Macaca fascicularis: one gene and its partners. The protein of the gene in region 1 interacts with the protein of each later gene in a pairwise test. Links are inferred from orthologs where the notes say so. Each region holds a gene or a part of one and is shown on either strand. Other genes may lie near its edges.

Region 1 (7,938 bases):
CGCGTCACTGCACTCCAGCCTGGGTGATGGAGCGAGACTGAGTCTCAAAAAAATAAATAAAAAAATAAAAATAAAAATAAAATAAATAAAAAAAATAATCCGATGAAGACAAGTGTGTGAGTGTATATGCAGGTGTATGGGATTTTGTAGTAAATTAGTGGTCTGTGTTGGAGTATTTTGGGCAGAAACCATACAGAAAGTACTATTAAGAAGACTGGCTTTGGCCGGGCGCGGTGGCTCACGCCTGTAATCCCTGCACTTTAGGAGGCCGAGGCGGGCGGATCACGAGGTCAGTAGATCGAGACCATCCTGGCTAACACGGTGAAACCCCGTCTCTACTAAAATACAAAAAAAATTAGCCGGGCGCGGTGGCGGGCGCCTGTAGTCCCAGCTACTCCGGAGGCTGAGGCAGGAGAATGGCGCGAACCCGGGAGGCGGAGCTTGCAGTGAGCCGAGATGGTGCCACTGCACTCCAGCCTGGGCGACAGAGTGAAGACTCCGCCTCAAAAAAAAAAAAAAAAAAAAAAAAAAAAAAAAAAAAGAAGAAGACTGGCTTCAAGCCAAGGAAACTACAGTCCACTTTTTAAATCCCTGTCAGAAGCTATCAAATACTTATTGAAATCAGCATCAGAAAATCCAGGTTCAAATCACCTCTCAGCTGACTTCACATATGCAACCAATCAAACTTGTTTTCTCATCTCTAAAACAGGTCAGACCACATCAAAGCTATTAACCCAAGGAGCCAAATGGAAAGAACAACTGGAATAACCACAATAAATGTAGGCGATTTGTATGTCATATTGTCAGTTTAACCTGCCTTTAGAGGTTTGCTTTTTAAGATTGCTTATTTTGAAATAATGCTATAGTCATAGGAAATCACGTACACAGAATGTACAGAGTGGTCCCGTGTACTGGTCACCCACTTTCCCTCAATGGAGACTGCATTAACTAAAGAACATCAAAACTAGGAAATGAAAAGGGTACCATTCACAGAGCTTATTCAGATTTCACTCATTTCTGTGTGTGCACGTGTATAGTTTCATGCAACTTTAGCACATTACATGTGTAATGTGCATAACTGCCGCTGCAGTCAAGACACAGAACTGGTTCATCACCACCAGGCTCCCTTTAAAGTGTGACCCCTTTGTAGCTATACCCACCACCCTACCTAATCCCTAATCTTTGGCAACCATGAATCTGTTCTCTATGTCTATCACTTTATTTCAAGAGTGGCTTATATTGGTTGGGCACAGTGACTCACATCTGTAGCCCCAGCACTTTGGAAGGCTGAGGTGGGCAGATCACTTGAGGTCAGGAGTTCAAGACCAGCCTGGCCAACATGGTGAAACCCTGTCTCTACTAAAAATACAAAAATTAGCTGGGTGTGGCGGCGCATGCCTGTAGTCCTAGCTGCTCGGGAGGCAGAGGTGAGAGAATCGCTTGAACCCAGCAGGCAGAGGTTATAGTGAGCTGAGGTTATAGTGAGCCGAGATCACCCCACTGCACTACAGCCTGGGCGACAGAGCAATATTCCATCTCAAAGAAAAAAAAAGAGTGGCTTATATAGAATCATACACATATATGTAGTGTGTGACTTTTTGGAATTGGCTTTTTCTCCCCCGCTCAGCATCAGTCCCTGAAGTCTACCCAAGTGTGTTGTGTATCAGTAGTTCATTCCTTTTAGTGGCTCCATGGGATTCCACGGTATGGATGTACCACTGTTTGTTTAATCATTCATCCCTTGAAGGGCTTTTGGGTTGTTTCTGGTTTTTGACTATTACAAATAAAGCAGCTGTGGACATTGGCATACAGGGTTGGTGTAAATGTAGGTTTTCATTTCTCTGGGATAAATGCCTAATAGTGAAATTGCTAGACCATATGGTAGCTGTATCTTCAATTTTATGAGAAACTGCCAAATTGTTTTCCAGATTGCTTGTACTATTTTACATTCCTATCAGCAATGCATGAATGATTCAGTTTCTCTGTATCCTTTCCAGCAGTTGGTGTTATCATAATTTTAGTCATTTTAGCCATTCTAGCCATTTTTATAGCCACTATTTTTTCTCCATTTTACCCATTCTGCTGGGTGTGTAGTGATATTTCACTGTGACTTTAATTTGCATCTCCCTAATGGCTAACAATGTTGACTGTCTTTTCATATATTTATTTGCCATCTGCATATTCTCTTCAGTAAAATGCCTGTTCATGCCTTTTGCCCATATTCTTGTTGGACTGTTTGTCTTTTACTCTTGAGTTTTGAGAATTCTTTATTCTCAGTTCAAGGTGTTTGGCAGACATGGGGGTGAAAGTATTTTCCTGCTGTCTGTATGCTGTCTTTTATCCTCTCAATAGAGTCTTTGACAGCGCAAAAGTTTTTTAGATTCTAATGAAGTCTTATTTATTGATAATTTTTCTTGCATGGATCATGATTTTTTGGTGTCTGTGTACTCTTCACCTAGCCCTAGCTCATAACGATTTTCTCCCATTTTTTTCCTAAAAGTTCTATAGTTTTACATGTAGTTGTACATTTAAGCCCATGATCTATTTGGGGGTAATTTTTGCAGGAACTGTAAAGCTTAGGTTGAGGATTTTTGGAGAATTTCTGACTGACCCCTTGATGTCTAGATACATTTTAGCCCACGTTCCCTCTTTCTGCCTCTATATGTATGTTCTTAGACATTATTTCACGTCTACCTTAGATTTCACTGCTTTCACTCTAACACTGGGCTTCTTCAATTGTCTTACCCCAGAGTGATCATATTCCTCCCCTAATATCTTACTCATTGAAAAAATGTACAATAATTACATAGGTACCTTATATTATTGACATGAGTCATGCTGATAATATGCTATATGTTTGTCTTTCTCAGTATACAGTAAGTCTCTAGAAAGGAGGGAGCTTATCTTGCTCTTTCTCTTTATTCCCTATGGCTCCTAGCCCAAGGTTTTGCAGTTAGTAAGGATTCAATGATAACAGCAGACTCAAAATGAGTTCGGTGTTTCCATCCTTACATTTGCTAAAAGAGGCACGTCTCCTCTTTCTGTATTCAGATGCAATATAAAAAGATTTTTTTTCAAAAGGCAAAAACTGAATGAAGGAGCCAGTAGCATCCCAACCGGATTGCTTCCTTCTACCCTCACCTGTTGCTGTACAGACTGGAACCCGTTAACAGATTAGTGAGGGGGCCGGGCGCGGTGGCTCAAGCCTGTAATGCCAGCACTTTGGGAGGCCGAGATGGGCGGATCACGAGGTCAGGAGATCGAGAGACGATCCCGGCTAACACGGTGAAACCCCGTCTCTACTAAAAAATACAAAAAAAAATAGCCGGGCGAGGTGGCGGGCGCCTGTAGTCCCAGCTACTCGGGAGGCTGAGGCAGGAGAATGGCGTAAACCCGGCAGGCGGAGCTTGCAGTGAGCTGAGATCCGGCCACTGCACTCCAGCCTGGGTGACAGAGCAAGACTCCGTCTCAAAAAAAAAAAAAAAAAAACAACAACAAAAAAAACAGATTAGTGAGGTTAGGATAGAAGTTAGGCTGCCCAGCACCAGCGTGTGTGGTTGATTCCAGGATGCCATGGGAAGGTGTAACAGTGATTTTTAAATATTTTTGCATTTTATTTGTCTTTGATTCCACTTAGAGCATACCTTCTCAAGACAGTTAGAACTTTGAAATTATATATATGTATGTGTGCGTGCATATACATACATACATATACAACAGCATACATATGCACCATATAATGGGTATATTTGTTGTTTTTGATGTCTGTTTCCTCAAAGTAGCCTCCACATTCTGTCTTTTAGAAATATCTTTTGCATGTGTTGCCTACATTAAGATGTCCATTAATTCAGGACTCTTGGCCACTACATCCCATTTCATTGCAGCTTGCTAAACTCTTAGTGCTTAGATGATAATAGGGGGTGTGGGAATTCATGTGTTATTTGTTCACATACGTCTGAAAGCTCAAAAGAACAGGCCCGTATATATTTACAAAAAAAACCTTTATCTTGACCCTTTTTATTTTTATTATTTTCCCCTCCACTTGTGCCAAATGGTTAAAATAACATTAGGAGAAAGGGCAGACGTAGAGAATTATATAAAGAGTTTGCAAATAAATAATGATTATTATCAGGATATGAGCCATGGCAAAAGAACAGGTGAATTTTCTGGTGTTAAGGTATTTGAACAGTTTTATAGTTTTGCAACACTTAATTTTGAGTGTGCTCTTGCTTGTTAGACATTAACACATGTCCATATTCTATACCAAGTAACCTTTTACGAAATGTTAATAGCTAAGAGGATTTACAGACTCAAACTGTATTTTCTTCAAAGATACACACAACATCCAGCAGGTAAATTGTCACTCTTTGGAGAAATAATGTTATTACCTACTGATAGAAACTCAAGCTTAAGAAATTCACCTTAGGAAACTTTTAATTTGGAAAAAACATCCCTTAGCTCCTTAATGTTCTTATGTTCTTAGTTTATTAATTGTTTTCCCTAGGAATTTTTTTTTGTAGAAAGCAGTCTACAATTTTTCTTTCATTATTATATGGGATATCATATTTATATCAGAGAAAGACATCCAAGGGCTAACACTTAAAGCCACAAAGTCTGTCTAGATTTGTTGAATGTTATCACCTGAAACGAACAAACAAACAAACAAACAAAAAAACAATAAACAACAATTTGTTTTGGTAAGGGGAATCTGTTTAGATTGGAGAAAACTAGATAGATCAGGTAATTATCATCTAGGTTCTAGATTTCCCTTGGGGTTGGTTTGAAAACATTTTTGGAAAAACATTAAGATAAGAGAGCAATGACACTAAAGCTTGCATATAGTTTTATATTCTTTCTGGTAAACACTTTCCCTTGACAGGAAAGGATCATGGATTGTGGAGATCACCTTACCTTGATATCAGGAATGGCCCTGGGGTCTCCTTCATTTTCTGTGATTTGGTGAATGTCTGCATTATATCTCTGAGCCCTAAACAGGGGCAGAAACTGTGTCCATATAGATGGCCTGAAGAAATGTTTCTGGAGGCACTCTTGGTTATCTTGGGAAAGCTGGGGCATGTTTTCACAATAAAGGCCCCAAATGAGTCCTGTTGCCTGGTTTTCCCAATATTAGCACAGGATCCACTCTGTTTGTCTTTGTTTGGTTAATGCTGGGCTGGCTCTGAGTCTGTGGGGAGCCTCCTCGGAAAGTTACACTAATGAAAGCAAAAGGATTATCTGCTTTGTGGATCAGTAGCTTATCCACAGATCTTTCATGTTCTATTCCTGGTAGAGCTGCTTATTTTGGATGTCTAGGTGCTGTATGTTATGAGTGCCCTCTAAAGGTAGAAATGTATTCTTAATTAAAATGTAATCCTAAATCAAAACGGAAAGAAACGATCCAAGTGATATATAGCTTAGCATATAGTGATAAATTAAATAGACTGGCAAAAATTCTTGTGTTAGTTGTGTTTGATAGCCAATAGTACTTGACAATCTTGGGCTGTGCAATTGACAGGCAGATGGTTGGCCTAATCTTTCCAGGTTTCTTAAAAGGTAATTTTAATAACAGTCATATTTGTAGGTAGTAACATATGCAAAACTCATACCCAAACTTAAACTCAATGATTATTACACTTTTTACATACATCATGTGGAGTATGTTAAATTGATTTTCTTATGAGATGACTAGGTACCCAATGAGTAAGCCAAGAATTGGCTTCTAACACCATACTTCATATTTATAAACTGCTTTATAAATATAAGATTATTAAGCAGACTGGAAAAGGTAGAATACCTTTCTATCAAGAGGCAACTAATGCCCAAGTAGCTTCTGTTGGGTTTGAGGGTGCACAAAGGTAAGGGATGTGTATTACTGGGGTCGATGAACTGGAAAAGTTTCCTTTTGTAAAATTGCTTTATAGATTCAACACAATGCCTATCATACGTCGGCTCCTTTCTTTTGCAGTGGTTGACAGTTGATTCTAAAATTCATATAAAATTATAAGGGGCCAGGCATGATGGCTTACACCTGTAATCCCAGCACTTTGGGAGGCTGAGGTGGGCAAATCACGAGGTCAGGAGTTCGAGACCAGCCTGACCAACATGGTGAAACCCCGTCTCTACTAAAAATATAAAAAGTTAGCCAGGTGTGGTGGCATATGCCTGTAATCCCAGCTACTCAGGAGGCTGAGGCAGTAGAATCGCTGGAATCCAGGAGGCAGAGGTTGCAGTAAGCTGAGATCGTGTCACTGCACTACAACCTGGGTGACAGAGTGAGACTCTGTCTCAAAAAAAAAAAAAAAAAAAAAAAAAATTATAAGGGACCCAGAATATCCAAAACAGTCTTGAAAAAGAACAAAGTTGAAGGATCACACTTCCCAATTTTAAAACTTACTACAAAGCTACAGTAATTACCATTAACATCCTTCACAGAATTAGAAAAAACTATTTTAAAATTCATATGGAACCAAAAAAGAACTTGTATAGCCAAGACAATCCTAAGCAAAAAGAACAAAGCTGGAGGCACCATGCTACCAGACTTCAAACTATACTACAAGGCTACAATAACCAAAACAACATGGTACTGATACAAAAACAGGCACATAGATCAGTGGAACAGAATAGAGAACTCAGAAATAAGACCACACATCTACAACTATCTGATCTGAAACAAACCTGAAAAAAAACAAGCAACCGGGAAAGGATTTCCTATTTAATAAATGGTGTTGGGAAAACTGGCTAGCCATATGCAGAATATTGAAACTGGACCCCTTCCTTACACCTTATACACAAATTAACACAAGATGGATTAAAGACTTAAATATAAAACCCGAAACTATAAAAACCCTAGAAGAATATCTAGGCAATATCACTCAGGACACAGGCACAGGCAAAGATTTCATGACAAAATCATCAAAAGCAATTGCAACAAAAGCAAAAATTGACAAATGGGATCTAATTAAATGAAAGAGCTTCTGCACAGCAAAAGAAATTATCATCAGAGTGAACAGGCAACCCACAGAGTGGGAGAAAATTTTTGCAATCTATCCATCTGACAAAGGGCTAATATCCAGAATCTACAAGAAACCTAAACAAAGTTACAAGAAAAAAAAAAAAAACCCCATTAAAATGTGGGCAAAGGACACGAACAGACACTTTCAAAAGAAAACATTCGTGCAGCCAACAAACATACGAAAAAAGCTCGACATCAATGACCATTAGAGAAATGCAAATCAGGCTGGGTGTGGTGGCTCAATGCCTGTAATCCCAGCACTTTGGGAGGCTGAGGCGGGTGAGGCCAGGAGGTCAGGAGTTCAAGACCAGCCTGGCTAACATGGTGAAACATCATCTCTACCAAAAATACAAAAATTAGCTGGGTGTGGTGGCATGTGCCTATAGTCTTAGCTACTCAGGATACTGAGGCAGGAGAATCGTTTGAACCAGGGAGGTAGAGATTGCAGTGACCCGAGATTGCGCCACTGTACTCCAGGCTAGGTGACAGAGCAAGATGCTGTCTCAGGAAAAAAAAAATTAAAAAAAAGAGAGAGAAATGCAAATCAAAACCACAATGAGATACCATCTCTCACAAGTCAGAATGGCAATTTCTTAAAAAGCCAAGTAACAACAGATGCTGGTGAGGTTGTGGAGAAATAGGAATGCTTTTATACTGTCAGTGTGAATGTAAATTAGTTCAACCATTGTGGAAGACAGTGTGGCAATTCCTCAAAGATCTAGAACCAGAAATACCATCTGACCCAGCAATCCCATTACTGGATATATACCCAAAGGAATATAAATCATTCTATTTCAAAGATACATGCACACATATATTAATTGCAGCACTATTCACAATAGCAAAGACATGTAATCAACCCACATGCCCATCAATGATAGGCTAGATAAAGAAAATGTGGTACATATACACCATGGAATAATATG
Region 2 (7,875 bases), on another chromosome or scaffold:
TGGACACATGCATAAATTATAATGTTACAATAAAATATAATTAATATAAACGTTTATTCATAATGAGCTGTCATGTCAGTTATTGCATTTAGAACTCACCACAACCCTTTGAGGTATGTATTGTCCCACCCCTTATCAATTGCAAAATGAGCTTAGAAGTTGGGTGACTAATCCAACTAGTCAGCATCAGAGATGGGACCACACCCTGGTCTCCTGACTCCAATTCCAGGGCTCTGTCCACTCTGATTCTCTCGTCCCTAAGACTTACAGGAAAGAGACTGAAGAAGACCACTAATCTATCTGCGTGTCACCAGATCTTCCCCCAGGGACATTTTACAATCTTCCCCAAATTAAGTATCTTAAGTCCTCAGACAATTACCTCATATCACTGAGGCCTCAAACACCTTTAATGGCTCCTTCCTGAAGATGCAGTTGTATACAAGTCTCCCCATCACACAATCCCAGCCCATCTGTCCAGCCTTATCTCCTTACTCCCACTGAGCACTGCCACACAACGGGAGTTCTGTGGCCTACACGTACCCCCACTTCCCTTCCTCTGTGCCTTTGTTCATGCCATGCCTTTTGCCCATAATGTTCTTTCAAACAGATTTCTGTGTCAAATTCCTAAACATCCCATAAGGACTATACCTCTTTCTTTGGGAAACCCTCTCAAACCTTTTTTGATCAAATATGATCTTCCCCTCTTTTGAAATCTAGGATCATTCTGTCTTCCCCTCTCTTGTCATTTCTGACTCCTCTTCTCTGGGGTAACTACATAAATTATCTTATTCCGCTCAAATAATGACAAGTTCCTTACGATATGTTGAATTCACCAGAGAAGCCCAGTTCCTAACACAGGGCATGTTACTAGCAAATGTCAGATAAATTAAATGGAAGAATAGACAGTAGTTCTCAAAACAGACACTATTTCTCTGACTTCAACTATTTCAGACAAGATAGACAGCTGCCACTTAGCTAACGCATTCAGCTAACTGAGACCTCAATAAATATTCACACGAGATGCTTGAATATGTCAGGTTCGTGATTAGCCTGTAAAACTCACGTATGGTGTGAGAATGGCCCAATTCACAGAGAACATTACCTGAGCGATCATGACCTCTCTGGTCACCCAAGACAACCCACCATGAAGGAGGTGTTAGTGAACAGGAAAGGCAAAACTGAGTCTCTTCTGCATTCCTACACCGCAAACCACCCGAGCGACTCATCTGGCATTCAGCCATGCACCGGCAGGAAACAGAACCAAGAACCACATGTTGCCTATCTTTTTATCCCTCACAGAGCCTAGTACAACATTATTTTTACAGAACATGCTCACTAAGAATATCTGCTGTACATAGGCTGGAATAAATAAACTGCAGAGATACCTTAGACACTGGTGATGAGTGCTTCCTGCCCCAGGGTTTTTGCATGTGCCGTTCCCAGTGTTGAAATGCTCTCCCCCAGCCCCACCCCACTCCACAGCACATGCACACAGCCCTTCGCTCATCAGGCTTCTGACCCCCCAGGTGTCAGCATAAACACCTCCTTAAAAAGGATTCTCAGCTTATACTTAGTACAACTTTGGAATTGTATGGTCTGTTTGCTTGCTTTTGTTTAGCTTCTTCACCATGCTAAAAGCTCTATAAGGACAGGTCCCCTGGGCTGGCTCATCCTCGATCAGCGTCCAACACCCAACATCTAGCCTCACGCATGTGAATGAATAAAAGATTTAATTAGCTAACTGGAAAAAAATGGAAAATGTAAAAAGGAACAAGTTAGAAAGTATAAATAATCTATAGTAGTATCTCCCAGAGAAAATCACTGTTAGTATGTCAGTGTGTAGAACCTTCTAGTTCCTAAGAATATAAAAACGTGCATACATGGTTACATAGTCAGTATGAAACGAAATATATCCTTTTGTAACTTGTCTTTTTATCTAACAATACACACTGCACAATCCCCAAGGCATTAAATGTCCTTCTGATACACCATTTTTAGTTGCTGCTTATTATGTGCTTGTTTCAATACACCATAATGTATATAACTAATCTAGTATGAGGCATTCAAGTTTCTTCTGGATTGTTTATTATAAATAGGCTCATAAGGGAGTAATGAACATCCTTATATATAAATCTTCAGGCACATCTGATTATTTTCTTAAGAGAAATTCTTAGTGATAGGATTACAACATAAACTATTAGTTTCAAGCTTTTGATATGTATTTCTAAAGTGCTCTTCAGAAAAAGTTATAGCAATTTACATGTATACTGGCTGAAACTAATGTTTAAACAGCACTTTTCTTTCAAATCTTTGTCAGTCTGGGTTTTTGTTAACTTTACTAATTTGATGAAAATTGGTGTTCCCTATTTTTAGTTTGCATCTCTTTTCTTATTAGTAAAGTTACTGATTTGATTTCCTTGTGATAATTTAACAATTTCTGGTTCATCTGGGTTGATCTAGAGAAGATAATTGCTTACTGGGGTAGATGGACATGACTCGTCTGGTCATTTGATTTTTAATCACTAAATTGACTCCAGAGAGGAGGTAAAAGATGAATGCTTAGGTACCTATCAGACCAGGCACATTCCACAGGTTTTCAAAATGATCTTATTTGAGACATCCTCCAGAGGCTTTATTTTTCTAGCAAATATTTCCACTCTGCTTGTGTACATATGGACTTTCTAACATTTAAGGATTAGGACACAGACTCAGGGGCCAGAGCTTCCCAACAGTGGCTCCTATAAGAACTTAACAGTCTAGGACAGTAGACAGGCGACTGGGTTGCCTGCAGTAGCCACATCCAGAGAAACTGAAACTTACTTCACTTAATAGATGGCCAGTGCTGCCTTCTTCTTTATTCTGAGTTTCTAAGGATGCGATCTATCTATAGTCTTTGCAGAGGTATCCTGCTTTTCCTCTATTTCTCACTCCATGCTCACTACAGAGAGACAGGAGTTTCCCTACTTCATGAGGCACCAGTCCAGTACCGGAAAGCCCTGTAGGTGACAAGGCATCAAGAGCCTGTGTTCCTTCTAGCCCCAGTTCCATACTAGGGGTCTTGGGCATATTCACCTAATCTGTCTGGCATTTTGTTTCTCTTCCAAAAAAATGAAATGGCTGGACTAGATATTCTAAGCTTCCTTCCAACTCTAAACCTTCAGTGAATCTCATTGTAAATCTAAATCTAAAATTTCAATGAATCTTAGGCTAGTGAAGCACATTGTAAAATCCATCTGTACAGAGCTTGCAAAACTATGCCCTGAAATTTCACGAGATCAGTGTTCCAACATATCGTCTTCTTGCCCTAGCTCCCATACAAAGGATTTTCCTTTGTGATCAAGGGTACCTCATGACTGCCTCTGAAGCTGAACATCCTTTGAATGATGGCTGAAGTCTTCCCTTCAGCTTCTCAGTGACTTCAAGAAAAACCATTCTAATGTACGGAATTGATTAGCCACATTTTAAAAGCTTACATCCTATAAAACATTTTATAAATAAAGTTTCACTGTGATCTCTTTAGAGGCTTTAAAAGAGGAGAGGACGTTTCTCAGAAACATCTGTCTCTGCCTTCACTTCGCCTTCTCTTCCCAGAAGTCATAGCCACTGGCATGTGTGCCAGGACCAGGGTGTCTGTGGAAGGGGACAGGCCTGGAACCACTGCTCAGGGGGCAAAAGTCCACGGTTGTATATGTGTGTCTCTTTCCAAAGTCAAGCGGAAGTGATTTTGAATTGTGTGCCGTGCTCAGCTATATTGATTGTGAGCAATTCAATTCACTTCACATTTTTAAAGCAGCTCAAGGAATCATACTGACCAGAGATTCCGAATTAGCCAGGATTCCTCTCATAGTATACATAAGCCAAAGTGTAGGACAGAATATAAGGCATTCCATTAACATATTTCAGTGCTGAGGATCACCTTTAGGAACTCAATGTACATGTGAAAAAGGACTCACCTATTTGCTTCTCCAAAGATGATGCTGTATGCTTCTGGCTGGTAGACTAGTAAAAGAGAAAGAAAAAAGATGCATAATAAAAATAAAATTATTTAAGCAAAAGAGACAGAATCGTCAAATAAACCAAGCCCTGGAAAGAGAATCCAAATACCTCAGAACTTTTGCTGACTCAGGCTTTGGTCAAGCAATTTTGCTTCACTGTCCCTCAGTTTTGTGATTTGAAATCGTACCAGTATTTTAAGTATTTTCAAGATTTAGTTTGGTCATCTGAACAAATTTACTTCCAAGCAAAACTTAAAAGTTTTGTTTGTTTTTTACTCCTTAAATCACTAGGTATGAGGCAGTAAGTGGTTCAACAGACTGAGTTGACAACTGAGGAAAGAAAAACTGTTGGGCTCTGATTCTTTACAAAATAAAAAATATTCCCTTCACTCCTATGAGCCTCCATTTCTCTGCCTATAGAATAGAATAACTAGAACAACCCATTTCTAAGAAAAAAAAAAAAGGATTGAAAAGCACTTTGCAAGCCAGGCAGTGGGCCCTCCACCCCCTTATGCCTGGTGCCTCCAGGGCACAGCAGTCTGCCAGCAGGCTTACCTCTCGGAGTTCTGCCAGCTCTTTCTGTAAGTGGAAGAGCTGAAACATCCCCAGTCCCAATCCTACCAAGGCAACCAGAACCATGAAAAACATCACAAGGAGACAAAGGCCTGTGCTGTGGTTTCCCCTCTTCTTCAAGGGTGGCAGCGGTAGTGGAGGCAGTGGTGATGGCGGTGGAGGTGGTAGTGGCGGCGGTGGCGGCGGTGGTGGTGGCCTCCTTTGACCAGGCCTTCTGGGCACAGAGGTTGGACAGGGAAGAACTGTGCCTGGAGGGGCCCAGGGAGAGCTGGCACTGCTGTCCACCCAGTAGATCTGGGGATATGGGTAATTGAAGGGCTGCTGCATGGCAGCCGGTGAGTCAGGCCAGCCCCAGCAAACGGTTTTACTTCTCAATCCTGTAGAGGCTGAGGTGTCAAGGACAGGACTCCTGTTGCTGACTGCTCAAGAGGAGGCAAGCTGGATCTCTCTTATAGAGTTTCCATAGCTAAGGGAAACACCTCTGTCTTTCTCTTTCTCTATGTCTCTCTCTGATTCTGCTTCTCAAAGAAACACCCACTCACTTTGCAGCTGAAGCTGAGAAGCCTCAAGAAGCTCAGAGCAAACCCCTGGAAGTTTCCGCCCACAATCTTCTGACGAAAGCCTTGGAAGCCTCAGTTGCTATCGCTGTACTACCCAAACAGGTTGGTAGGCTATGCTCACCTTCCTGGGATCCTGTAGAGCAGGTCAGCATTGGGGTAGAGCCCTGTTGGCGTGAACTGCTCCCAGCTACAGGAGAATGGCCAGTGGGGCTATAATTTTATGAATTATAATTGTATCCTTTTTTATACATTATAATTGTATAATGTTAAGAATTCTACCATGTATACGACCAAAAAACTATTTAAAAATACCAAAATACCTCTAACAAAAATTGTTCAGAACCATATTTTTTAAACTATAAAAATTTTACTGAAATTGGCTCTGAGGGGAGAGACCATGGAGCCATGGCCAGAGAAGTCACTCCCACATTTTAGTTTTTGCAGGAGGAAAACACCTGTTGCCATCATCGCTTCCCCACACACAACTACCATTTACCCTGACCTGCCAATCACCATAATTTACAGGTTAAAAAACCTGCTACACCCTCTTTAGAAATTAGATCAGAGGCTGCAAACAGTGGAACCCACAGAACTGCTTTGTATTTCACAATGTTTTCATTTTCATTGTTTGCCCAGCTTATTTATTTACGTATTTATTTAAATAGAGACAGAGTCTCACTCTGTCACCCAAGCTGGAGTGGAGTGGTGCTATCATAGTTAACTGCAGCCTCAAACTCCTGGGCTCAAGCAATCCTCTTGCCTTGGCCTCCTAAGTAGCTGGGATTATAGGCATGAGTCACTACACCTGACTAATTTATTTATTTATTTATTTTTGTAGAGATGGGGACTCGCTATGTTGCCCAGGCTTGTCTCAAACTCCTAGCTTCAAGACATCCTCCCACCTCAGTTTCCCAAAGTGCTGGAATTACAGTCATGAGCCACTGCACTCAGCCCAATTGACCACTTTTAATATCAATATTAAAAATATTTTAATATATATACATTTTAAATACACATTAAAATACATATTTTTGTTCTGTTTTGCAATATCAGAATATCAGACACCCTCGAGGCCATCTCTGCAAACCCAATCAGTGGGAAGTAGGTAGCAGCTGCTCCTGAGAATGAGCGACAGGTGTTCTGGGTCACCCAGCCTCCGCCAGCGGCCTGTGTCTCACACATCACCTCACCATCTGAAAGGCCTGCCTGGTCCTTGCCGATATTTCTGTGTCCTGTCCCTGTTATGGTTGCCAGATTAAATACATGGTGCCCAGTTAAATTTGAATTTCAGATAAATAATACATAATTTTTAGGACGAGTATGTCTTAAACACGTCCAAACATGGAATACACTAAACAATTATTCATCATATAACTGACATTCAAATTTAACTCTGTGTCCTATTTCTTTGTTTTTCTGTTGTTGTTTAAAGTTGGCCTCTCTACTTGGGCTCACCTCACCCTTTCCTTTGGCCTCACATACCATTTTTATGCCAATAACTTCCAAGTAGTTAGCTTCAGTCTTAATCATTCCCCAATAGAAGCCAAATAAATCCCCCATAAATCCAAATTTTTCATTTTTTTCATGTTTATTACCTTTCAAATTTCATTAGTTTTTATATCATGTTTTGGGATTTCCGTGACTGTCATTCAGGCCCACTCACCTGTACCAAACCAACACCAAGGATACTCTTTCCCTGATATATTCTGCCCATCCCACCCCATCCCCATCCCCGTACAATCTGTTTCTCCTGAGGCCACTCTTTCTGGCGGCAACTTCATCTCCTTTCTTTTCCTCTCCCCCAATGTTTAACTGGTCACCCAGGACTGTTGCTTTTACCTGAGACCTGTTCCTTACCCTCCCCTCGGTTTACTGCTCCCCTCCCCCATCCTTACCACTCCCATTTTTCTTACTGCTATTGCCTGGGCTCAGACTTTTTATCTCTCACCTGAAATACTGCAATAATGACCTAACAGGTGCCCTGCCACTGACCTTTCCCAAGCCCAAATCACTCAGTAAAATGCTACAAGAAAGATGTTTTTTAAAAACAAACCTAATGATCTCACTTCCCTTCCTTGTGTTGGAAGGTTTGATTCCAAGAATAATGCAAGCTCCTTACCATTACCCAAGGCTCTTTAGCATCAGCTCCCACTGCCTCCTTATCAGGCACTCCTGCTCACATCCCACTCTCCACTCTTAAACAGTGCAAGGGATGAGACTTAACTCACATGTGGCTTTATTCATCATTATGAATTCAACTAACTTTAAACTTAGTAATAATCAGAAATTGTAATTTTAAGAATTCTATCATATATACAACAAAAATACTATTTGAAAATCCCAAAATAACTGTAACAAAAATTGTACAGAGCCATATTTTGTTTTTTATTTTTTTGAGACTGAGTGCCACTCTGTCCCCAGGCTGGCGTGCAGTGGCATGATCTTGGCTCACTACAACATCCGCCTCCCAGGTTCAAGTGATTCTCCTGCCTCAGTCTCCCGAGTAGCTGGGACTACAAGCACATGCCACCACACCCAGCTAATTTTTGTATTTTTAGTAGAGATGGGGTTTCACCATGTTGGCCAGGATGGTCTCGATCTCTTGACTTCATGATCTGCCCACCTCAGCCTCCCAAAGTGCTGGGATTACAGGCATGAGCCACCGCACCTGGCCCACATTTTTTAAATTATAAAAATTCTACTGAAAATGGCAAAGATTCAAATAAGTGGGAAAATATGCCATATCC
Region 3 (6,540 bases), on another chromosome or scaffold:
CCACAGTGCTGCTGGGCGCGCTGCCGTTGCGGAGCTTGACGCGCCAGGTGAGCCAGGCCGGGGAGCCCGGGCACCTGCCCCGTCCCCGCCGTTCCGTCTCTGTCGGGCCGCTGGGGTCTCCACAGTCTTTGCTGAGCCACCTCTTTGCCTCGGCAGCTGGTACAGGACGAGAACGTGCGCGGGGTGATCACCATGAACGAGGAGTATGAGACGAGGTTCCTGTGCCACTCTTCACAGGTGAGGGACCGGGCCGCGGGGCAGGCTCGGGGGCCCGCTCCCCTAGCCCACCGCCCTGGGCCTGGGACGGCTAGAGAAGTTTGGGGGAGGTCATCATGCCCCAGAGCCAGGCGTCCCAAGCTGCTTTGCCTCCAGTCTGGTCCTCTAAACGGCACCTGGAGGTAGGCTAGAAACTGTGAAAGGCGTTTATTTAAAAGTTCAAGTTGGGCCGGGCGCGGTGACTCACGCCTGTAATCCCAGCACTTTTGGGAGGCGGGAGGAGGAGGCGGGCAGATCACTTGAGCCCAGGAGTTCCTGACCAACCTGGGCAACATGGCGAGGCCCCCATCTCTACAAAAATACAAAAAGTAGCCGGGAATGGTAGCGTGCGCCTGTAGTCCCAGCTACTTGGGAGGCTAAGGCAGGAGAATCACTTGAGCCGGGGAGGTGGAGGTTGCAGTGAGCCGACATCTTGCATTCCAGCCCAGCCTTGGGCGACAGGAGTGAAACAGTCTCAAAAAAAAAAAAAGAAAAAAAAAGTGCAAGTTGACAAAGTCTGATTTCTCCTTTGTGAACGAATGTAATGTATTCTTATTTCAGTAAACAAAATCAGAAACTAAAATTGAAAGGCAACTTTCCTGTGCCTTCCTGATTTCATTCATTCTTTCTGCACTTTGAGCTCTGAGTATGGGTCAGCATTCCCAGTGTTAACGATTCCAGATGAAGGCCCTGCCAACTATAAGAAGAAAAGCACCCCCTTAATACGTCCCCCTCCCCACATTTTTCATAAACTGTAGAGTTAATTTGGCTCTGATTTGGGGGAATTTTTAGTCATATGTTAGAAATCATGGTGGAACTACAAAGTTCTTTCATAACGAAGTTTAGGCCTAAAGCATAACTTTCATTAAATGTGACTGGCTTGTTTGTGGAATCTTCCACAATGGTTATTAGAAGATGTTATCTGGTCGGGCGCGATGGCTCAAGACTGTAATCCCAGCACTTTGGGAACCTGAGACGGGCGGATCACGAAGTCAGGAGATCGAGACCATCCTGGCTAACACGGTGAAACCCTGTCTCTACTAAAAAAATACAAAAAACTAGCCGGGCGAGGTGGCGGGCGCCTGTAGTCCCAGCTACTCGGGAGGCTGAGGCAGGAGAATGGCATAAACCCGGGTGGCGGAACTTGCAGTGAGCCGAGATCCGGCTACTGCACTCCAGCCTGGGCGACAGAGCGAGACTCCATCCCCCCCCCCGAAAAAAAAGAAGATGTTATCTACAATGTGATTAAAAATGTTGCCCTATCTTTATAGTGTTTGGCATCTAATAGCACTAAACAATTATCTTTCTCCTTTGTTTTACTGATATAGCATGATGAAGATACTATTATTTCAACCTGAGGATTTTTTGAAACCTTAAAAATATTTGTGACTTGGCTGGAAATATTTGTGACTTGGCTAGGCGTGGTAGCTCTGACGCCTGTAATCCCAGCACTTTGGGAGGCTGAGGTGGGTAGATCATGTGAGGTCAGGAGTTTGAGATCAGTCTGGCCAAAATGGTGAAACCCTGTCTCTACTAAAAAATACAAAAAACTAGCCCGGCGAGGTGGCGGGCACCTGTAGTCCCAGCTACTGGGGAGGCTGAGGCAGGAGAATGGCGTGAACCCGGGAGGCGGAGCTTGCAGTGAGCTGAGATCCGGCCACTGCACTCCAGCCTGGGCGACAGAGGGAGACTCCGTCTCAAAAAAAAAAAAAAAAAAAAAAAGCTGACCTTCATTCAGAACCATACAGTCTCCGATACTCATTATTAAGAGGTTAATAATAAGAGTAGCTGGAGGATATCTGAAGTCTTAAAGCATAAAGTTTGCCCAGTTGCCAAAGACCTTATTTCTCTTATTTCTTCTTTTTTTTTTTTTTTTTTGAGACAGAGTCTCACATCTCACTCCATTGTCCAGGCTAGAGTGCAATGGTGCAATCTCAGCTCACTGCAACGTCTGCCTCCCGGTTCAAGTGATTCTCCTGCCTCAGCCTCCCAAGTAGCTGGAATTACAGGTGCCCGCCACCATGCCTGGCTAATTTTTGTATTTTTTGTGGAGATAGGGTTTCGCCATGTTGGCCAGAGTCATCTCGAACTCCTGACCTCAGGCTATTCACCCACCTTGGCCTCTCAAAATCTGGGATTACAGGTGTGAGCCACCGCACCTGGCCACCTATTTCTTCTTTGTAAGTGATGACATTGCACTAATGAAGGTCAGTGCATTGTTTTAATTTAATTTTTTTTTGTTTTTTTTGTTTTCCAGACGGAGTCTTGCGCCTGGCCCATTCTTTTAATTTTAAAATGATAACCCTATTTTCTACCATGTGCTTCCTCAAAAAAAAGTGGTAAAAAAAGAGGAGACTTATGGACAGAGAAATAGAAAGCCCTGGCAAAATATTGTACCCCAAATCTGCAGCTGAATCACTACACAGGTGCCAAAATTATACAAAAAAAAGTTACACTGGCTGGGCCTGGTGGCTCATGCCTGTAATCCCAACACTTTGGGAGGCCGAGACAGGAGGATGGCTTGAGGATAGGAGATTGAGACCAGCCTGGGCAACATAGCGAGACCCCCATCTCCACACACAAAAATAACAAAATTAGCGAGGCACAGTGGCGTGCAGCTGTAGTCACAGCTTCTCAGGAGGCAGAGGTGGGAGGACTGCTTGAGCTTAGGAGTTTGAAGCTGCAGGGAGCCATGATTGCACACCACTGCTCTCTGACCTGAGCGACATAGCAAGATCGTGTCTCTAAAATAAAATATGTATATTTTTTGAGATGTTGTTTTTCTCTTGTCACCCAGGCTGGAATACAATGGTGTGATCTCTGCTCACTGCAACCTCTCTCTCCTGGGTTAAACAATTCTCCTGCCTCAGCCTCCCTAGTAGGTGGGATTACAGGCGTCCGCCACCAGGCCTGGCTAATTTTTGTATTTTTATTAGAGACAGGGTTTCACCATGTTAGCCAGGCTGGTCTCGAACTCCTGACCTTAGGTGATCTGCCCACCTCAGCCTTACAAATCGTTGGGATTACAGGCGTGAGCCACTATGCCCGGCCGAAATAAAATGTTAAGATGTTTGCAGCTGAATTTTTTGCAGCTAAAATATATATAGCTAATATTTTGCAGCTAAATATTCAAGTACACAAAGGGTAGTTTAAGAACACTTTACCTGCTGGTGTGGTGGCTCACACCTGTAATCCCAGCACTTTGGGAGGCTGAGGCGGGCAGATGACCTGAGGTTAGGAGTTTGAGACTATCCTGGCCAACATGATGAAATCCCGTCTCTACTAAAAATACAATTAGCCAGGCTTGGTGGCGCGTGCCTGTGGGCCCAGCTACTCAGGAGGCTGAGGCAGGAGAATCGCTTGAACCTGGGAGGTGGAGGTTGCAGTGAGCTGAGATCACACCACTGCACTCCAGCCTGGGCAACAGAGCGAGACTCTGTCTTAATAAAAGAAAAGGAACACTTTAAATCTTGGACATAATTCTAACTCAGCAGCATAGCTGCTGTTTGATGAAAAACCAACTATGTAGGCCAGCCATTTTAAAGACATTTCTGTCCTCACCCGGAATGGGAAAAAAAAGCATTTCTGTAAGGAGTTTCTATTTTAGAAAACAGGAAACAGTGTATTCCCATTGTAGTAAACCCTGAAACTTCCCTGTTGCTTTGCTGCCTCTTAGGAGCCCCTTATCATCCCACCCACATCAGGTTTTTTTCATTCTTTTTCATACTGGTGGACCTGGTTCCAGGAGTGGAAGAGACTAGGAGTCGAGCAGCTGCGGCTCAGCACAGTAGACATGACTGGGATCCCTACCTTGGACAACCTCCAGAAGGGAGTCCAATTTGCTCTCAAGTACCAGTCGCTGGGCCAGTGTGTCTACGTGCATTGTAAGGCTGGGCGCTCCAGGAGTGCCACTATGGTGGCAGCATACCTGATTCAGGTACAAAAGTTCTTTCTGGGCTGGGCATCGTGGTACATGCTTACAATCCTAGCATTTTGGGAGGCTTGAAGTGGGAGGATGGCTTGAGCCCAGGAGTTTGAGACCAGACTGGGCAACATGGCAAAGCCGTCTCTACAAAAAATACAAAAGGTTAGCTCGGTTTGGTGGTGTGCACCTGTAGTCCCAGCTACTTGGGAGGCTGAGATGGAAGGATCACCTGAGCCCGGTAGGTAGAGGCTGCAGTGAGCCATGATTTGTGCCACTGCACTGCAGCATGGCCGACACAGTGAAACCCTCTCTCAAAAAAAAAAAAAAAAAAAATCTTTCTGGTCCCATTTATAGCAGATTTCCAGAACTTCAATAGCATGGTCTACTGGTGGGCCTTGTTGGAAGGAGCTGTGTGCTTGATTTCAGGCTGTTGGGAGGTGGTGTGGTATGATGGAAAGCACCTGAGCCTTGTGACAGGCTAACCTGGGGCTCTGCCGCCTGCCAGTGAGGATCAGCAAAAGTGACTGATACCTAATGCTGTTTTCTCAAACTAAATGTATCATGAAGTTTAAATAAGAAATTACATCAAGTGCTGGCTACAGCGGGCACTCTAAAAATGGAGTTGCAAAAGATATTCAACCCCAGCAAAAGGCTAGACACTTGTTCTAATACCATGTCAGGGAACAATACTGTAGATAATAGTGATGATCATTTTCAGCTTTATAGTACTCAAGTTTCTTCAAGTATTCCAGAGTCAAGTTCTGGATATTAGTTTCTGGAAACAGGCTCCAAACTAGATTCTGCCTGTTAATTTGTCATGATTGGCAGGTGGGATGCTTTAAAAATATTTAGGAGAAACAAATACCCTGTAGTCCATCATCATTTTGTAACCTGAGTTACAAAATGGCTCCCACAGAGCATTTTCTAAGTCATGTGAATAGCTAAGTTTGGCCTTGTGTTACTGTGGACTGGTGTGTATGTATGTAGTTGAACGATACTAAAATTTCGGTCATAAGGACTCTGCTGGACTCAGGGTCTCAGGAGGGTATTTTGTACCCAGTGAGAATTGAATTAGCAAGCTAGAAATCTGTATTTTCTTGGTTCTGTTCAGTTCTAAACCAATGAGTATCCTTAGGACATGTTAACCCTCCTATTTAAATTATGAGTACTTGTTTTTCTAGCCATGGTGACAAGTTGCATAAAAACATCTACTGCAGGCCGGGCGCGGTGGCTCACGCCTGTAATCCTAGCACTTTGGGAGGCAGAGGCGGGCGGATCACGAGGTCAGGAGATTGAGCCTGGCTAACACGGTGAAACCTCGTCTCTACTAAAAATACTAAAAATTAGCTGGGCGTGGTGGCGGGCACCTGTAGTCCCAGCTACTCGGGAGGCTGAGGTAGGAGAATGGCGTGAACCCGGGAGGCGGAGCTTGCAGTGAGCTGAGATCGCCACTGCACTCCAGCCTGGGTGACACAGCGAGGCACTGTCTCAATAAAAAACAAACAAACAAAACATCTATTGCATACGTGTTCCTAGAAGTTCTTTTAACCAAAAGCCCAGCTCGGAGAGAATGTGGAGTAGGCTGAGGCAGTCTTGAACTTAGGACCTCAGCTTCTCATGTGCAACTTTCTTTTTCTAGGATTTGGCAGAGCAAGAATTGGGTAGAAAGACTGACTTTCCACCTGGCCTGTTGCATAGTATTGTGAGACTGGCTGACTGCAGTGGTTACAGTACTCTCCCATTTATAATACAAGAAGCATGATTTTTAATGCCTCCAAAATGGAGTTTCCAAAGAAATGAAACTCTCGAAGTCCTTTAGCACCTGCTCATGTGTCAAGGGCACGTTGACACCTGCTTTTTTTTTTTTTTTTTTTTTTTTTTGAGACGGAGTCTCGCTCTGTCACCCAGGCTGGAGTGCAGTGGCCGGATCTCAGCTCACTGCAAGCTACGCCTCCCAGGTTTACGCCATTCTCCTGCCTCAGCCTCCCGAGTAGCTGGGACTACAGGCGCCCACTACCTCGCCCGGCTAGTTTTTGTATTTTTTAGTAGAGATGGGGTTTCACCGTATTAGCCAGGATGGTCTCGATCTCCTGACCTCGTAATCCGCCCATCTCGGCCTCCCAAAGTGCTGGGATTACAGGCTTGAGCCACCGCGCCCGGCCTGACACCTGCTTCTTTCTTTCTCTGCTGATTTCTCAACCCTGTACTTCAGGTGCACAGATGGAGTCCAGAGGAGGCTGTAAGAGCCATCGCCAAGATCCGGTCTTACATCCACATCAGGCCTGGCCAGCTGGATGTTCTTAAAGAGTTCCACAAGCAGGTTACTGCAGGGGCAGCAAAGGATGGGACTTTTGACACTT

The links.
Region 2: the proteins of RGS20 (region 1) and FASLG interact in binary tests that used the Homo sapiens proteins (3 or more experiments, as listed by UniProt). The two-hybrid records come from large-scale screens. The link is inferred for Macaca fascicularis from reciprocal best matches to the Homo sapiens genes RGS20 and FASLG.
Region 3: the proteins of RGS20 (region 1) and PTPMT1 interact in binary tests that used the Homo sapiens proteins (3 or more experiments, as listed by UniProt). The two-hybrid records come from large-scale screens. The link is inferred for Macaca fascicularis from reciprocal best matches to the Homo sapiens genes RGS20 and PTPMT1.

Annotation. Positions count from the first base shown.
Region 1 is NC_088382.1:63,824,480-63,832,417, reverse strand, and holds the start of RGS20 (regulator of G-protein signaling 20), read right to left. Parts: upstream 5,182-7,938; 5' UTR 5,077-5,181; coding exon 4,912-5,076; intron 1-4,911. UniProt on the Homo sapiens protein: Inhibits signal transduction by increasing the GTPase activity of G protein alpha subunits thereby driving them into their inactive GDP-bound form.
Region 2 is NC_088375.1:30,262,753-30,270,627, reverse strand, and holds the start of FASLG (tumor necrosis factor ligand superfamily member 6), read right to left. Parts: upstream 5,116-7,875; 5' UTR 4,896-5,115; coding exon 4,551-4,895; intron 4,000-4,550; coding exon 3,954-3,999; intron 1-3,953. UniProt on the Homo sapiens protein: Cytokine that binds to TNFRSF6/FAS, a receptor that transduces the apoptotic signal into cells. Involved in cytotoxic T-cell-mediated apoptosis, natural killer cell-mediated apoptosis and in T-cell development.
Region 3 is NC_088388.1:18,268,401-18,274,940, reverse strand, and holds part of PTPMT1 (phosphatidylglycerophosphatase and protein-tyrosine phosphatase 1), read left to right. Parts: coding exon 1-47; intron 48-156; coding exon 157-237; intron 238-4,000; coding exon 4,001-4,192; intron 4,193-6,392; coding exon 6,393-6,540. UniProt on the Homo sapiens protein: Lipid phosphatase which dephosphorylates phosphatidylglycerophosphate (PGP) to phosphatidylglycerol (PG).